Schizosaccharomyces pombe: one gene and its partners. Changing the gene in region 4 together with the main gene of any one other region gives a genetic interaction. Each region holds a gene or a part of one and is shown on either strand. Other genes may lie near its edges. The genes, in order: csr102, utp16, SPOM_SPCC584.03C and SPOM_SPCC306.07C.

Region 1 (5,121 bases), on a different chromosome or scaffold from region 4:
TAGCCAAGAGATTACTGCTGACGGAATATGTATACTTACATTAGAATCACCATGGATTTTACGAATTAAAGTCAGAATTTTCGTTCCTCGTTGTTTGTAGTCTAGATAGACTGGGAGATTTTTTGAAGGTGTACGTGAAACATGAAACCGAAGTGATTCGGATGCAATTGTTGAGTTGAACCTCAAATTTGATAGCACTGGCTTTAAGGATGATCGCATTTGGTTCAACAAAACTTTCTACGAGTTGCAGGAATTTATGGTGGATGTGTAAAAGAAGTCGTCGTGCATTCGCGAATAAAGAGGATTTCTATCATAACCTCCAAAAATTTGTAAGTTTTAAACAACTGTCAAACAGGAGCCTAAGATTAAGTGATTCACTAAGAACAATTAAAATAAAATAAAACGCTCTTGTTTTAAATAAATTTAATCGGTGCTTGAACCTCACGCGTGTTTAAACTCGAAAGTATTTTTACGGCACGGAATATACTTCAGCGAAGGTGCATACTCATTAAATTAATACTATATTTTGGAGTAGGCATTTAGGTGTTCAGCTTGTTGTTTTTTTTAATTTCGAACCGCTTTCCTACAATAAAATAAAAAATAATAATAAATAGCAAGAAATCTAAGTTAATTTGCAAATAAAACTGATCATTGATTCTAATAAAGACAAAATGGATGGATAAGTATTGCGACCAACAACTTCAATGAAAAGCCATAAGACCTAAAAAAAGTTATCCCTTTCTAGATGATTTTAAGTGCATTAAAGAGAGTGCTAAAAAATTAAAGCGATAAGGAAATGGTAAAACGAAAAGGGGTGTAAAAATCAACGTAGGAAAGAGATTTCATATGTAACTAATTGATATAAAAGATCTTGAAAGTTATGCATTAATAGATGATACAATCATATTTTGAGCCAGCATCTTATTTAGAATAACACGGGAAAGTACAATTAGTCAGTATACGGGAGTATAGGCAAGGGGAAGGATTACAATGTAAAATAGCAGGAATATTGAAAGTTACGACCGACTAAGTTGCCGAGCTAGTAACTTCTACCATTGATTCTTTGACATCTCCATTTGTAGGTTGAGAAAGAAGCAAAGTATGGGAAGTTTGAGGAGCAATTAGGCCCATGCGGTCGTAAACTGAGCGTGCGCGGATGTATTTATCCAAGTTCCAGTATGCATCAATAAGTTGTGAAGCTAACTTACGACGTTTTTGTTTCACTTCTGCCATGTCACCATTGTTCAAAATCCAATCCATTGTAACTTCCTCGTACTGTTTAGCAATTGCATCCTTTTTTGCTCTAAGACTCTTACGAGCTTCAACATTCTTCAGAGCTTCTGCTTCGTTTTGACAGGGTTCTGGATATGTATATCTCCATGGATTAGGCCCACCGAATTCTTTTAAAATATTGTCAGGATTTATATATTGTTGCAAATCACGATAATTACGAGTGAATTTAACCTTTGAGACAACCACTGGATCAAGCCAAGATTTGATGATGGACCAAACGCCTTGGAAAAGCCAAGGCGCTTTGTGTACAATACATTCACCCAGACATTCGGGATAGTGTGCTTCAAAACACTTGATCATGAATTTCAATGGCCCATAGTCCATATTGGACATACTGAAATCAGTCATATCAAAAACAACAGTAGCAGTTTCAATAGGAGGTTTGAGAATTAAACGAGCAGTTTCCATGACCCAAACTGTGAGTCGCTCAACCGATTCGGGTGAGACATCACCAACTTTATGAAGACGTGCGCGAATATAACAAACTGGACGATTGTGTTTATCTTCACCGAATATAAAACACTTTCCGATTCTTAGTTGACGCACAAAATCATCATCTTTATCAAGGTGGTCAGCGTTACATACAATTTCACCAACATTCATCTCTCTACTTCTCCAGTGAACGGTTTTCATGAACATTTCCAACGCAGCCTCAACGTTCCATTTTCGAGCACGAAGGAAACGAAGTAGAAGGCCATCAGGATCATCACAATTAACAGCATCCCAAAAGCAAACTCTAAGCCCTTCCGGGTCCCATTCACTTGCAATTTTTTCAACTCTTTCCAAATGCACATTTTTGGTTTTATCATTAAAACTGCGAGTGTCCGAGCCATGAGATGAAGACGTTAGTTCAAGTCGTGTACGGGATTTCGCATATGAGACGCTGCTTAAACGATGTGATGAGGAACTACTTGAATCATCAGATAAGTGTGTCTTCACTGTGTACCAAGATTCAGTTCTTTCGAGTAAAGTAATGCCGAAGAGCTTAAACAAATAACTCCACATAGTCTTCAACTTCTCTTCTTCAAGTTCTGTGAGATTCCACGGTCTACCGGCTCCTTCAGGCATATTTAATAAGTAAATTGCGCGCAAACAAATATAATCTAGAAAAAGTCCAAGGAAAAAATATATCAGATGAAATCAATATTAATAAAATTGAACTCAATTGAGAAGGAAATTACGAGAATAAGCCTAAAGAATGGAGGTTAATCTCGAAGATATATAATAATTTGAAAAATTGGCAAAGATAGACAAAAGAATGTGACGAGTCAAAAATACACTAGCCGTCAATTTGCTTCCTTTTGGTCAGAGATGCGAAACAAGCTCACTGAAAAACAAAACGTAATGCTTGTAGTAGAAAACAAAATAATATAGGGAACTTAGTTAACCGAATGAATGAATAAAAAAGAAGAATCACTCGACAAAAACTGAGTTGGTATTTTAAAAAAAAAGATAAAAAATTCCTCAGAGGACTATAAGTGGGCCTGAGAAAAAGCGTGAAATAATAACAAAGGGAGAGGAGCTCAATAATTTCTAATTCACCTTAATGTATATCAAAGTGATATATTAATGAATATGCAACGCACAGAAGGAAATGGATTTTTTTATGAAAGCAAAACGTAATAAAATAAAAAGTCACCTACAACTTTTTAAACGGATTTAGATTAATTACCTATTGGAGGCACAAAACGCGTCACAAAAATTAATGCAAAGACAAAGCCGTTCAAAAAGCAAAGAAAAGAAAACAGAGCTTTGAGAACATTCACGCGTTTAACACTTTTGAGAAATGACGGGGAAATTTTTAGGATGCTAAAAAGCGGAATTTTAAGACTTCCTGGTTTAATTACTTTAGCCAAAGAAGTGATCTAAGCTTTATAATTATTAGTAGTCGGTATTTTAGGAATCACTAGTATGCCGAAATTACGAAACTAACCGATCAACACAGCCTCTTCCTATACTTACACAATTCTTGGAATTAGTAGCAAGAATTAAAAGAAAAAGCCAACGAATATTAACCAAAATATATTTTTTCAAGGTACCAAACGCCACGAAATGCAGCTTACCTTCCTATGCGAAAGAATAGAGCGCTGAAGTATGGTGTGGTGTAGAGTGTCAAAGTCAGAAGCTGCGTTGCAGAACCATTTATAAACAACAACGCAAACCGTTCGTCCGTTGCTGTGATAGAGTGATACATAATATCAGTCAATTGCCTTTACCCGCTACATTACCTAGGAAATCGTAATAAACGAGCGTTATAATTTCATTACGTTACAAAACCACTGTATTAAATAGTAGAATCACCCAATTTTTGTAAAACTAATAAATTCTTAGCATATCACAATGTGAATGGAACGGTAGCTCCTATGTAAGAAATAAGAATGTTAAAGTTGGCTTTTAAGCAGTTTAGCAATTTTTCTGCGAAACTAGTAAGTAGATGCAAGGAAACTGGTTTCCACATTGTTTGGATTAACTCTACCTTTTCATTCATTGCTTCCAAGGTATTGTTTGTTTACGTACACCCTAACTTGACTTGAAAAATTTTAAACTAAAAAGTTGCTTTAAACATAAATTTAATAACTAATCATTATACTAAAAGACTATATGAATTGAATGGGCTTATCATAAAAAACATATAAATCAAAGGAAACTTTGTTTGCCAATTCCACTCTCAATAGCTTGCTCATTGCTTATTGATCTTAGACGTCAACTTGGCTTGCTCAACTAGGACACGAGGTGCATCCAACATAGGCATTACAAGCTCAACTACTTGAATGACATCTGCATTTGCAAACTCCTTGTCGCTAAACAACTTTTCAACGTCAGTAGGAGTTTTAACACAGTAAGTGCGGAAGTGGTTTTCAGCAGCTCCGAAAAACTTGGGAATCTGTTGGTAGCCCCATTTAGTGTTAATTTCGTTATAGCTAGCATGCAAACCATGAATTAAACGCTCAATGGTGTAACCGTCGTTGTTAATTATGAAAATAATTGGTTTGAGGTTATGGCGAATGCAGGTTGAAATCTCTGTAATCGTCAGTTGTAAGGATCCATCACCTACTACAAGAATGGTACGACGATCGGGCTCTTTAGAATCGTGGACGGCCAAAACAGCACCAAACATTGCACCAACGGAGTATCCAATAGATCCCCATAATACCTGGGAAATGGCTGTTACATCCTTTGGAAACCTGCAATCAAGGACACCAAAGTTTGCAGTTCCAGTCTCGGTGATCAAAACATCTCGGGGCTTCAAAAATTCACTAAATTTAGGCCAAAACCAGCAATGAGTAATCTCGTTGGAAGAATATCCTTCCGCATGCTTAGGCTTGATGTTGTAGCCAATGGTAGGAGCAGCCTTGGAATGACACATAGAAGCATCAAGTACTTTCAACAGTTTGCGAAGAATATACTTCATGGCTACATTTGGATAAAGAGCATATCGAATGCGCATGTGGTCTGAATGAAACTCAACGGCATTCTTTTGGCTGAGGTGGTAAGAGAAGGAACCCGTGTTAAAGTCTGATTTGAGAGCACCGATGGATAGCAACAGATCAGTGGATTCAATTCTGTCTTTAACTTCAGGATCTGAAATTGAACCAACATAAACGCCGTCAAAAAATTGCGAAGTTTCGTCAATTGCAGATTTACCCATGGGAGTTACATATGTAGGGAAATGGGTCAATTTAATCAGCTCATGTACTTCTGGAACGACACGATGTCTTACAGCACAAGCGTCAATTAAAATCACTGGTTTCTTTGCATTGACAACCATTTCCGAGATATGATTGATGACTTCTTGCTCAACTGCTGGATCGTTAGTATCCTCCTCGA
Region 2 (3,714 bases), on a different chromosome or scaffold from region 4:
ATATAAGACCAAACACTGTCTCTTATCATCTGTAACTCTAACAAATTGCTTTCATTGTTCCATTCTCTAACTTTCTCACTAAGAGTTTGAAGGCAAATCAGTCTTGTTGATGGTTTATATTTCGTTTTTTCACTAAAAATTTCATGGCATATTTTCCAACCTGTAGATGAGCTTCTAAGGCTACCAATAAAATCTGTAGCTTGTTGCTTTATTATTGGTCCTACAGAAGGATCTAATGCTGCTTCTACTGCGTTTTCGACATCCTGGGCCGACATGGCTGCAGAGGTGAAGGTCAACAATGCTTTGAAGTGACAAAATTTTTGTGGTGCTAAAAAGCGAAGTTTGCCTAGTGCAAGTAGTCGAAAGTACAAACCATCTCAGAAATTTATATGCAAATATTTTATAATTATAAGTAGTAAATGTTCATACACTAGACAATTAATAATATATTTATGCAAATTTTGGCCTTATGAGCTATAGCTACTGATATCTATAATATCTATGATGTACGAAACGTTACATGAGCGAATTTCCTCTAGTGCATGGCAATAAATCCTTGATACAACTTTAATTAACTCATGTTTGTCTAAAGTGTTTATTTTTAAAAATACTATGTTAAACATTTACCAAAAAAACAGCCGTAAACTGCACTTAGCATGTCCAAAGCTTCAAATAATGAATGTTTTAGAACCCAGACAACCTTTTCCCAACCAATATTATTAATAAACAAAAAAGTAAACCCTTATATTAACAGAAAATGCAATGCTTGTGCCTGACTTTCAATTTACAGCGAATGTGTTGCCAAATAGAGAAAGGAAAATTAATAAGTCAAGGGACGTCGTCTTTTAGACGCCCGGGGAACTGATTGTCGATTTATCCAATCCCGTTTACGCTGTGACAGTTTCTTTTCATAGTTCGGCGCTAGTAAAGGGTCATTTGTTTCTTTAAGAACGCTCACTTTAAAATCACCTTTACGAAATGAACGAGTACGTTTTTTAGGAATTTCGTTATTAGGAAAAACAATTTTATGTCCTTTTGGAGTATATAGGTCAAGGCTTGCTTCGTCAACCTTTTCTTCGATTTCCGTGGTACTATTAATTTCTTCAACTTCAGCTGCCTCAAGAATAGCCAAATCCAACTTTGATGCGCTTACCCGTTGGGCATTTCTTTCACGATTTCTTTCATTTTGCAGTCTACGTTTTTCTCTTTCAGCTTTTCGAAGCCTAAAATGTGTTAAAAATAATACTATCAAAAGCAAGGAAACGAAATGAGCAGTCGAACTTTTATCAAACAAATTATTATTCTGTCTCAAACCAAAACAAATAGTATTTTTAAGTGTTTCCCTCATTCCGTTTATTAAAACTTACTGTAATTCATTCCCTTTCAGACGTTGAAGTCTCTTTTTTACCTCATCGCTGCTGCTCTTCAGCGAAACTTCTTCAGGTGCTTCATCAGAATCACTGTCAGATGATTGATTTTGAGAGTAGTGTGAGGCTTCATTATCTTCAATTTCCGCTTTCAACAAATCATTTGGTTTGTTTAAATTTGAAAATGAAGGACCTTTGCTTGGGGCAGTCAATCTTGCCATTCTAGTATTTGACAAATTTTCAATTTTCGAATAAGTAATGCAACAAAATGTCTTTATCAGAAGTTTATACCTTAACAGACAAGTTTTGGATTTTAATACTATAAAACGAAGACTATTAAAGGATTTGAAACTTTTTTGACCTGAATTGGTGTAGGAGGAGGATAACTGGCAATGCGAGTGAAACTTCTTAATGCCACCAAAATGGCAGTGAACAAAATGGATAGGATAGGTACTTTCCTGAGTCTTACAAAATTTATCAATAAATAATTTATTTAAAGTAAGATACGTTGCAATTATAGCACTAGATTTTAACCCTTTAATGCTGGTAAATAAGAAGAAGAAAGTAATTTCAATTTTCGTTAATTAAATGATTTAAAGGCTCGCATACTTTCTTTTTAGTATCATAATTTTTCTAGACGATTGCATTTAAAGCTGTTAAACTAATTGACTTTTGGCAAAATCATTAGCAGGTTAATCTCTCTAGCACAGTATATAGTCGTATTACTATTCAAAATGTTTAGTGGTTTCCAATGAATTAACGTTTCTAATATAATCAATTTGCAAAACAATAATAGAAAGAAATATATGCAACTTTGATCTATGGTAAATCATATGATGTTTATGTTATTTGTTGAAATGAAAAACCAAACAATTTTCTGACCAAAAGGTCTCTCTTTCCATCAACTAACTTACTTATGCGAACAAGTTGAATGTAAAAGATCAACAGAAATATCGTTTAGTCTCGTTAAATCCAATTACGAAATGCTGTAATCACGGACATTGAAAGCAAGGAGATGGGACATTAAAAAGACCAACGCACGGAAAACATAAGACACGACCGAATTTTGTTTTGGGTCTTTTAGAGCCAGATTTTCTGTTCTTTGTATAGCTATTGTCACAGTTAAATAAAACATGACTGCGGAAAATGCCACATTATTAGAACCAGTTTTGGGAAAGGATGAGATAGGATGGATGTTCGTTCAAGAATATTATACATATTTAAATAAAGAACCCAATCGTCTTCATGTAGGTCGTCATAATTTACCAAAAGTTTTTTTTTCTTCAACTTGTGAACCGTACTAACTGTAATACAGTGTTTCTATACTAAAAAGTCAACTTTAATTCACGGAGACGAAGGCGAGAGTATTAGTCTTTGTCATGGACAACAGGTATGCTTTAACACAATTCTTATATGTAAAGTTTTTGAGGTTGTGATATTCTGCTTGCGATTTTCGAAACTCTATGATCGTTGTCTTGCCCAATAGTCATTTTATTAACGTGTTAGGAAATTCATAACAAGATATTGGACTTGGACTTTCAAAATTGCAAAGTACTTATTTCAAACGTTGACAGTTTGGCTTCTTCGAATGGTGGCATTGTCATCCAGGTCCTGGGTGAAATGTCTAATAAGGGGAAATTATCCAGAAAATTTGCTCAAACATTTTTCCTTGCAGAACAACCAAATGGTTATTTTGTTTTAAACGATATTTTCCGTTTTTTGCGTGAAGATGTTGAGGAAGAAGAGGAGTCACCTGATGCTGTTGAAAAAGAGAAAAAAGATGTTGCTTCTGAACCTTACGTAAATGGCGTGCAATCTCAAGAACATTTACCTTCTGCAAAAGAAGAAGGCCATTACCAGGATCCAGCTGCTACAGAAAATAATTTTGCCACAGCCGCTCTTATATCAAATGAGACCGACAGTCTAAATCAAGCTACTTTGGCTGTTCCTGAAGAACCCGTTATCCAAGTTACGGAAGCCTCAGTCCCAAGTTTTGTTTCTCAGCAGGAAAATCAGCTTCAAGATGAAGCTCTGACTTCAAACTCGAAGAATGCTGATGCTATAGGGGCTAGCGATGCAAATGTTGCTACAGCACCTAAATCTTGGGCTGATCTCATAGCTCGTAATCATCCTGATGTGAAATCCCAAGCATCAGTTAGTTCTACTGCGTCTACAACTGGTCAAACAGTTAAAGGTGTTAATGCTGACCAAACTCAGCAGCCAACAGCGCCGTACACTCAGAGTAATGAACTGTTGGAGACATCTGTATTCGTCAAGAACATTCCTCCCGAAACATCTGATGTGTCATTGAAATCTGCTATGAGCATTTTTGGACCAGTCAAGGCTA
Region 3 (5,604 bases), 1.1 Mb from region 4:
GTGTTCGATTTCAGCAACGTACTTGATTTTAGAAGCTCCATTATATGATTTTAGTTTAGCTAGTTAGTTTTATCTCCAGAAAATTGACAGGTATTCAATATTTACTGATTTATTCATAGTGCGCTAAATGCATCTAAGTACTGTGCTGTAATTATGTTCATTATACCCAGTATATCAGCATCTAGCAGCAAATATACATTTATGTAAATACATTTACATTTCAAATAGTAGCATCTCCAAATCGTCACAAATTGTAGAATTTACATATCTTTTTTTAAAATACTGAACGTTCCTTAATTTGATGAAATCACTTCGTCTACATTTCTATTATGTGACAATATTTGTAGGTAGCAAATATTCAAATTGATTAAAAGATTTTTTGAAATCGAAAAAAATTGTGAGTTTAATCATACCTTTCTGAAAGAAATATTTCAATTTTTTTTAAAAAAATTTGAAGGGTCTGACAAGCCTACCTCATTTTACATTTACTTTCATTTAATTATTTTTTTAAACCTGACATTAAAACAAAGTAACTCGATATAACCCTGAAAAATAATAATCAATTAAAATAAATGAGCAATCAATAAAAAAGTTATTATGTCTTTAGGTTGCAAACTTTTAAGCTGTTTTGTAATCTGAAAATCATATATGTTATAATATAAAGTAGTATATTAACAAAATCCAGTCTTTATAGCATCTGGTACCTTTTGCAAACAAAAGTTATTTAACAAGTTTAGAGTGCAGAAAATCGCAAAACTGCTTAGAGAATTGACGCAATCATAAAAACATAGAATGAAATCGCCTCGAGGAAAAATCACAATTTGATCAGTTTGCACACTCATTAAATCAAAATTATCTTTTCTACGAAATTGTGCTCAAAAACATTGAACATAGTGATTTAATACCTTCCTATTTTGTATGTTATTGTTGGTTAGTGTCAATAAGTTGATGTATTTGTTTATCCCATAATATGTAAACAAATGTCCATAGCTAGAGCTTATAAATAATTTATGCCAGCACTCAAACTTTTGACAAACAACAAACATTGGAAATATTTAAAAGTAAAGTATATTATTTTAAAACACTTAGCTGTTCGTCTTGTCTTCTATTAATATCCGTTGTGCAATTCTTCTGGATCAGAAAGCTAAAGCAGAGACGAGGAAAAAGGAATTTGGGAAAAAGCTGTCATTTACAATTTATCAACCTAAAGGAAGAGAACGTATAAGAGGAATTTATTTAAAACGTTCCTCGACTAGCTTATTTACTCGAATCCTACTTGTCTTCTTTTCCCTTAATCACAAATACCTTCAATCATGATCATTATTGACGGTAAGAATTATGCTTGGTAAGACTTTTTGTATGGTTATAAGATAAAATTTTTAACACTTACTCTAGTGTTGTATGCCTTCGAGGTCATCGAGGCTCATCCTGCCAGCATCAAGAAAGGGCACTGATAGAAGTTCGAACTAGAGGAAGGCCGTTACTATGGTATGTCACATTGATCAGAAAAAAAATATTAACTTGAAATTCAGCAAAAAATGCAGAGCCATAAAACAACAACTTAAGAGTAATTTAAAATGCGTTTGTCATTTGCAGCCTTTTCTACCCTTCGCCAATGAGTATCAGGAGTTATTAAATTTCACTCAGAAAAACCCAATATTGGCTAGCCTTTTTTTGTTTTCAACCGACAAAGATATTATGAATTCTTCTTTAAATCCTGCAAGTCAAGCCTACACCTTCGATTTAGGAAGAACACTACCCATCAGTGAAGATATATTAGGATATAGGAAACCTCTTTCACTAACAGATGCTTCTAATCGCATTGATGCAAGTCAATTGAATGAAAAAGAAAACGATTCTTTTACCATAAACCAAGAGGCCGATATTTTCAATTTCGCAAAGTACTTACATTCCAAAGACGATATATCCGGAATCCCTTGAATTCACAACTTTCGTTATTATTCCAAATAGCGACAAATGAAGGTTATTGTCATATCATATGTATAAGTACTCTCACATAAAGTATTCAATCATAAAAAGATGAAGTAATTTGAATGTTTTGGTCGTCTAAAAAGGTGCATATAACATTAGAGAAATCTATGTATTCAAATTTACTGGGGATCAAACACCATTTCAAGGATTTCCCATGGGAAGTGAAATTTAGAATAGTTGTGTATTGAATAGCGTCAATATTACTCTGATAAAGTTTTCACGGGTTTTTCTTTTCTTTTTCCACATTTAATTTAGCCTGGCAGTTGATAACTTTCGACGATGATTCAGGCTCGGAATGAGGAATAACAGAAGGGTTTTCTTTTAATTTAATCACAGAATCCTTTGAAATGAGGTCCTCCTGAGGAAGTAAATTGGACTTCCGGACAGAAGGGCTAGCCATCAATAAAGCTGAATCCTCTTCATCAACATTTTTCGTTTGACGTGTTGAAACTTCAGGGGTAACAAGAGGTATGTTTTTAATATTCCATGGTGACAGAAACGTTGGTGTCGCAAAAATTCCAGAATGTCTGGAGGAGGATACTGAACCTGGACTGGCGCTTAGTTCACTTCGATTTTCTAAGGCATTATATGAAGCCGGATCTCGGGGCCTCTCTCTTCCTTGATAATCTTTAAGATACAATGCAATTTGTTCGTCAGGTAATTGTAAAACTGATTCTTGGGTAGTACTTTCGAGCGCGCATAATCTAATCAAATACTCCAGTAAAGTTAAATTAGGTTGATCTTTTATAGTCGATGGAAAGGAAGACTTTTTCTTTGCAACGGATTCTTGTTTTTTGATGCCTAAAAGCTGTAGCCTAGCAGCTTCAGAATCACTAAGAGATTCTGCAAGTTCATCAGATTCGTCTAATGATTCATTAGGTATTGATACCAAAGGAAGTGCTTCTAAAGCTATCCAGTTCGAAGGTGCTGTATTTGAAGAATACTCTGTTTCATCATCTGCATACTTGAGTAATAATACGGGAGTTTGTACATCATCTAACCGAAGAAGTTTACCGGACAAACTAAAAAAAAGCGTGCGCACATCATTTAGTGAAATGGTTTTGGTGACAGGAGTCTCATCTTCATCATGGTAACGATCATCATCAAAAGATTGTTTTAAAGATAAAGCATAGGCTAGAACCGTATCCTTGGACTTCAACCGTTGAGGAGGCATGCGAAACATTTTGGCGATACAAACAGGCATCTCTTCTTTCCACATGACTAAATCATTGCTTATATAACCAGACTTGGCGTGGTTATCTATAATTTTATAAGTTCGCAGGAAAAATGTGGGGCCAACTTGTAAAGGTTCATTTCCAGTAAATGCAACATTCGCCCTATATATGTATGAATTAGCTCGTAGAAGTTGGGAAAATGAAGTAGATTTTGGAAGAGAAGATGAAATAGAAGCACCAGAAGTAGTGATGGACAGATTTAAGAGAGGAACTGCATCATTAATTTTGAGAAGTAAAGTTTTCATTTCACGAAGAATAGACGTATCAACGTTCTTCTGCAAAGTTTCTTTTTCTGAGGAAGGCGGAAATTCCGAATGAGCGGCGCTTAAAACATGCTTGGTGAATTGTTCGATGTCAGCGTGCAAAGAATCCACTAATTGCTTAGTACTCTTAAAATTTTCATTTTCACCGACTGACATTATTTCAATTAGTTCGATAGCAGGCGTCACAACTCGAATCATTTCAAGCAGTTGAGTTTTCACAGACTCCAATTCACTTTGATCATCTGCAGAGGCACGTTTAATATAGCTGCTAACTTGCTGAACAGCTAATTTTCCTGCAAATGATATACTATGTTTCAACGCGAAGTTCGTAGCAAATGTCGCAGCATGAGAAGCTACATTAAGTAATTCATCCATTTCTAAAAAGGCGGCTTTAAAAAACACAAGAGAAAACAAGGCTAAACAAATAAATAATGGTCATTCAAATTGTATTTATTCCTTTTAACAACAAATTAATAACGAAATAAAAAGAAGCGTAGTAAATTGAGAACCAAATAGAACTTGCGCTAAGTCATAGTGATATGTGGAGGATAGAAGTTTAATATCCAAACACGCCTATAGAATTTTGTATAAGGAAATCCTAAAGTGAATAATTATATAATGGATTTACATATTGAATCTTTTGGAACTTGCTTGGTATATATTTTGAAGCTGTAACGCTGATTCATCGTTTCTTCCATGACAAAATCCTTGCAGTGATTATTGGTGACAATGGAGACTAATTAACCAATAGATTTAAAAACTTTTGATTAATTGTTCAACCCAATAGCTAATAAATGTTGTGTTTGGTATTAAGCCCACCGAAGTTTCTGTTTTTTATCTCCCAAGGCAAGTCAATATATTTTACCTGTTTAAGACAATAATAGCGTATTACTGAAGAAAAAAGCGAGAAAATGACCAATTTACAATTCAGTTGCTTCCGATTTTACAACCAAATGTAAAATTAAACTCAAATATAATATTTTATGAACTTAACTGAATTACTATAGCACAAGCTTATATAAAGGATGCTAATAATATCATCGTAAGTACTCGTAATATTATATTATAAAAGAATACACAGTGTATACTGTGGTGTAAATTCTCTTCAACATCACCGTCCCTTTACCACATATTTTAATAAAGGCAAAAAATGGCTAGTAATCAGCCAAATAACGGTGAACAGGATGAGCAACTCGCCAAGCAGACTTCTAAACTGTCGATGTCTGCAAAGGCACCTACGTTTACGCCTAAAGCTGCTCCCTTCATTCCTTCTTTCCAACGTACGTTTTTTAATTAGAACACCATCCATATGTCTTGAGATGATTGCTTGTTTTAAGTAAAAAAATTATTAACTTCTTGCTAGGCCCCGGATTTGTACCTGTGAACAATATTGCTGGTGGTTATCCTTATGCCCAATATACAGGCCAAGGACAAAACAGCAACTCGCCACATCCTACGAAGAGTTATCAGCAATACTACCAAAAGCCAACAGGAAACACTGTTGATGAAGATAAAAGCCGTGTCCCTGATTTTTCTAAAAAGAAGAGTTTTGTGCCTCCTAAACCAGCAATTCCCAAAGGAAAGGTTTTGTCCCTGGGTGGAAACACCTCTGCTCCTAAGTCTACAAAGCCCATTAGCATCAGCCTTGGTGGAACAAAAGCTCCTACAACTACCAAACCAGCAGCACCTGCTGCACAAAGCAAAACAGAGACCCCTGCACCCAAGGTTACCTCTGAGTCAACAAAGAAGGAGACCGCTGCTCCTCCTCCCCAGGAAACTCCTACAAAATCTGCTGATGCTGAACTAGCAAAAACACCCTCTGCTCCAGCAGCGGCTCTTAAGAAAGCTGCTGAGGCAGCTGAACCCGCCACTGTCACTGAGGATGCCACCGATTTACAAAATGAGGTTGATCAAGAGCTTTTGAAGGATATGTATGGAAAGGAACATGTCAATATTGTTTTTATAGGTCATGTTGATGCAGGAAAGTCTACCCTGGGTGGTAATATTCTTTTCTTGACTGGTATGGTTGACAAGCGTACTATGGAGAAAATAGAGAGAGAAGCTAAAGAAGCTGGTAAAGAAAGTTGGTATCTTTCTTGGGCTTTGGACAGCAC
Region 4 (4,009 bases):
CTCTTGTGAGTCCAAAGACTCCTTGGAATAAGGAAGAAGTAAGCTATAGGGTGATTGCAAAGAAACACGCTTTAAATGTTTAAAAGCTCCCAACTGAAAATCATTAACCTCAAGGCCTGGTTGATGTATAATTAAGGTAGCTGTATTGCATGTCGAAAGTGCCTCAATTGCGGCGTCAAAAAACATCATAGGGCAAGTGGATATTGAAGAATCATCGGATGATTTGGGGAGTTTGCTGTTTTTAGTTAGATTAAATAATTTACACAGTATAATGCCATCGATGGATGCAGGACATACGAGTTCGTAGAAAATAAGAAAATCGGCGAAGTATCTTTAAATGCTGATACTAAAGAAAAGCAAACTATAAATAAAATACTCCAAGAAAACATTTTGACACTAAATTTTCTTTACTTTGGACAAGTTTGGATGTTGTCAATTGCTTGAGCGTTGGAGTGGTAGAGAATAGCTCTATATACTACTTTCAGTATCTAAAGGTACTAAAATCCTTCTGAATGAACAAGCTACATATAAGCAGATAGATTATGTAAATATAACATGTTATTTACGAGAAAAAAATAATACTACAAAACACAAGACGGTGTAGATTTTGTTCCAAAATCATGACAATAGTCCATGACACTTGTTATACACAAAAACCCTTATTTATTACTCAGTCCAAAATACCCGTTTATAAAAGACGTGCCCTTGTAAATCCCTTTTGCTTTCAGCCACTCAAAGCTTTTTCACATAACTAATTAACATCGAAGGAAAGAAATGTATCAGAAATTTGAAACAGGCAAAGTCAAATGGTGTTTATAAATACATTGTCAAAACTCTTTCTTCTAGCCTTAGTAGAAAAATGGTAATTATTTTAAAATACTTTTTTTTTTCAATTTAGGAAAGCGAAAGTCAGTTTCACTTATTCCCTTTGCCTTCTCCAGAAGAACCCCGTTTTTGAGCACGCAGTTCACTTTTCTTAAGAGGTCTTGCATCTTGAATGTGCACAATGTGTCTTTTATGAGCAGCAAGATTGGTGTCACTAGTCCAAATTGGCAGAGAGGCACTGTCAGCTGTTTTAATCGCAACATTATCAATTGCAGACCACCCTTTCGGAATGAAATTAGTTAGCAGACACTTCAATACAGTCGTAATATTCTCCAACAATTGTTCATTGGTTTGAGTGGCCAAACCACAGAGAATGGTATGACTAGTGCCGGCAGATAACTTAAGATAAGTAGAATGAAGACAACGAGCAACTTGATTACGCAAAGTCTCTTTCTTTTGTAAAACAGAAATAGGAAATGGCTTAATTTTTTTCTGTTCAAAAACTTTCCCCATCAATAGGGGGATGTATTTTAATACACGATCATCAACCAAAAAAAGGTTGTGAGAGTCTCGTAGCTCACATTTTTCTCGGATTGTTTTATACTTTAATTTCAATCTCGGGATGCTAAGTACTTTTGTAATGACTTCGTCAAGCCCTTGTTGCTCCACCAGATCTTGATATGTCTGCTGTGAATCTTTCACAATCAAACAAGCATCTGTTACATGCATTATCCTGTGCGGAAGGAATCTGTAAAATAGTTAGTACCTTATAATTTTAATGAAGAACACGCATCGATTCTATGAATGTTACAACAAGCTTGATTTATTAGCAAATCAACAAAACCGTAATACCTCTTTATTTCTGCACAAGCAGTAGAAGCTTAAGGTTTTAAGTAATTATAAGAACAAAAATTTTATTGTTGATCTTATTACTTCAGGAAACTTAATTCATCATTAATGCTCACTTACACTTTTGATGGTCTTCTAAGCGACTCTTTCTCAACGGGTTGGAATGTATTAACCTGAATATAAACCTTTTCTTTTTCAATAGGTTTATCAGAGGATCGAATGTGCTGCAGCAGGGCTCTAATTGTTTTCTCTAGCTATTGATTATTTGTAAGTAAATTGCACGATAATTTGAAATTAAAAAAAAAATTTCTTACTAATTTTATGTCAATTTTATCCAATGACTTTAAATTTTTCTTTTTTTCACTTGTAATCGCCATTTCTATTAAGATGTAAGTAATGGATGGCTTTTTGCAAGTTCAACTTGGGTTGGTCAGAGAAGTTAATATTACAATGCTATTGAAAGTTCTGTAGCATATCATTATCAAAGTTTAGTTTGTAAAGAATTAATCAAAGAACAATTGTTCTGTCTTATATGCCATGGCCTTATTAAATTGATGGCTTTGAAACGATACTAGATAAATAAGGCCAACAACTCAAGAACCGCAAATGTCGAATGAATGGAAAACTTATTATCTATTACTTGTTTAACAATTTTCTTTTAGTGGTTATTGTAAATTTGAATCATCGCTTTTCGCAAAACTCCGCATATTGAAAACCCTCATCTATTCGACTGTAAAAACGGAATTCAATAGATATGAAATTTCTATACAACCGCACATATAAAAGGAAACCTTGTAACATAATTTTTACATTCATACCTACACTATGAATGCAGTATACAGATTACTTTTTGACTAAAGTAAAAGAAATAACACACACGAAAGAAGCAAGAGAAAACAAACATTCATAAAGAATATCATATCATTTCTGTTATTCATAAAAGATTATGCTACAAATTGCTCACCCTTCGTAATGCTCTTTTTCAGCTCACCCAAAGCTACCTTAAGAAGGCTCTCCTCATAATCATTGATTTTACCAACAGGGTGAATGGTGTCAACCCCATCCTTACCCAAAGTTACACGAGAGGCAAAGAAATCAATTCCTTGATCCTTGTACAGAGGGGACTCCACAAAGGTGCATTCCTCAACGCCAGACTCACCAGCCAAAGCACGGAGTACGGAGGAGGCCATACGAGCACCGGCATAGGCCATAGACAAGGTCGCACTTCCAGCACCAGCCTTCGCCTTTACAACCTCATCACCACCAAATTGGATACGGTGAATAAGTGCGTCACGCTTTTCACCAGTCAATTCAACACCGCCTTGGGACAACAAAGGTACGATGGTCGCACCGGAATGACCGCCAACAACAGGAATATGAAGAAGTTCTGCCTTGCCATTAGTGACTTGAGAGGTGAAACGGCTGGCACGAACAGAGTCAAGTGTGGTGACACCAAACAAATGTTTGGGTTGATGAACGCCAACACGTTCTAAAGCCTTTTTAAAGATGGGCACAGTAGAGTTTACGGGGTTAGTGACAACGAGATATTTGGCTTCGGGACAAGTTTCACCTGCTGCAAAAGCAAGGTCCCGCACAATCGATGCGTTAGTAGCAAAGAGATCATCACGAGTCATTCCGGGCTTACGGGGAACACCAGCAGGAATAATGACCACATCAGCACCGTTCAAGGCTTTTTCAAGTCCCTTGTCATCAGGAGCATAGCCAACAACATTGGAAGTGGTATTGATATGTCCAATATCGGCAGCAACGCCAGGAGCTCCCCTAATATCGAACAAGGCCAATTCACTAACCTTATCGTTCAGTTTTAAAAGCATTGACAAAGGCTGGCCAATACCTCCTCCAGCACCCAAAACGGCTACTTTGAATGCGCGACTGGAGGTCGTAGAAAAAGAACGGGGAGCGATACTCTTAAGGGGAGTAAAGTTTTTGAAAGCTACTTTGGCAAACATCTTTGAAAGGTACAAATTCGCAAAGCAAAGTAGAGAACACGGGTATTTAAAAAAAATAGAGAGAGTGTGTGTGAGACAGAGAGGGGGGTAAAAGAAATTTCAATAGAAAATGTCCAGTTGAAAGGTTGATTCTTCTTTTCTTCAGAAGATACTAGACACTATATCAAAAGTTAGAAAAATTTGTTGAAAATAAAATATGTATATATATGCAAACATGAGTAGCCGCATCCTACACCATAACGTTTATACGGACTGACTAGCAAAGCAAAGCTACTCGACATCCTGGTTACAAACAAACTCCTCATGCCGATTCTAAGCATAAAAAAGCATATGCGTATAGCATCTCTTATAAAATATTCCTTCAG

The links.
Region 1: mutations in SPOM_SPCC306.07C (region 4) and csr102 together harm fitness more than expected from each alone (negative genetic interaction), as found in Schizosaccharomyces pombe (one large-scale study listed by BioGRID).
Region 2: mutations in SPOM_SPCC306.07C (region 4) and utp16 together harm fitness more than expected from each alone (negative genetic interaction), as found in Schizosaccharomyces pombe (one large-scale study listed by BioGRID).
Region 3: mutations in SPOM_SPCC306.07C (region 4) and SPOM_SPCC584.03C together harm fitness more than expected from each alone (negative genetic interaction), as found in Schizosaccharomyces pombe (one large-scale study listed by BioGRID).

What each region holds. Positions count from the first base shown.
Region 1 is NC_003424.3:586,165-591,285, reverse strand, and holds csr102 (sec14 cytosolic factor family phosphatidylinositol transporter), read right to left. Parts: upstream 3,408-5,121; 5' UTR 2,362-3,407; coding exon 1,027-2,361; 3' UTR 535-1,026; downstream 1-534. Other genes in the region: img2 (mitochondrial 54S ribosomal protein mL49), read right to left, coding at 40-219; pdc202 (pyruvate decarboxylase), read right to left, coding at 3,974-5,121.
Region 2 is NC_003423.3:3,649,807-3,653,520, forward strand, and holds utp16 (U3 snoRNP-associated protein Utp16), read right to left. Parts: upstream 2,015-3,714; coding exon 1,977-2,014; intron 1,932-1,976; exon of another isoform or gene 1,911-1,931; coding exon 1,368-1,910; exon of another isoform or gene 1,224-1,367; coding exon 821-1,223; 3' UTR 555-820; downstream 1-554. Other genes in the region: karyopherin exportin-T Los1, read right to left, coding at 1-275; ubiquitin protease cofactor Nxt3, read left to right, coding at 2,501-2,614, 2,683-2,757, 2,874-3,714. UniProt on the Schizosaccharomyces pombe protein: Functions as part of the small subunit (SSU) processome, first precursor of the small eukaryotic ribosomal subunit that coordinates the first two steps of ribosome biogenesis in transcription of the primary transcript pre-RNA and pre-18S processing.
Region 3 is NC_003421.2:1,530,813-1,536,416, forward strand, and holds SPOM_SPCC584.03C (GTPase regulator), read right to left. Parts: upstream 4,041-5,604; 5' UTR 3,866-4,040; coding exon 2,210-3,865; 3' UTR 1,942-2,209; coding exon of another isoform or gene 1,533-1,941; 3' UTR 1,489-1,532; coding exon of another isoform or gene 1,396-1,488; 3' UTR 1,346-1,395; coding exon of another isoform or gene 1,314-1,345; 3' UTR 502-1,313; downstream 1-501. Other genes in the region: Cu metalloregulatory transcription factor Cuf2, read left to right, coding at 1,314-1,345, 1,396-1,488, 1,533-1,941; eRF3-like class 2 translation release factor sup35, read left to right, coding at 4,641-4,770, 4,854-5,604.
Region 4 is NC_003421.2:419,085-423,093, forward strand, and holds SPOM_SPCC306.07C (U3 snoRNP-associated Cic1/Utp30 family protein), read right to left. Parts: upstream 2,087-4,009; 5' UTR 2,052-2,086; coding exon 1,989-2,051; intron 1,929-1,988; coding exon 1,795-1,928; intron 1,616-1,794; exon of another isoform or gene 1,574-1,615; coding exon 916-1,573; 3' UTR 545-915; downstream 1-544. Other genes in the region: family protein BIG1, read right to left, coding at 1-235, 298-389; mdh1 (malate dehydrogenase), read right to left, coding at 2,619-3,644. UniProt on the Schizosaccharomyces pombe protein: Involved in rRNA-processing and ribosome biosynthesis.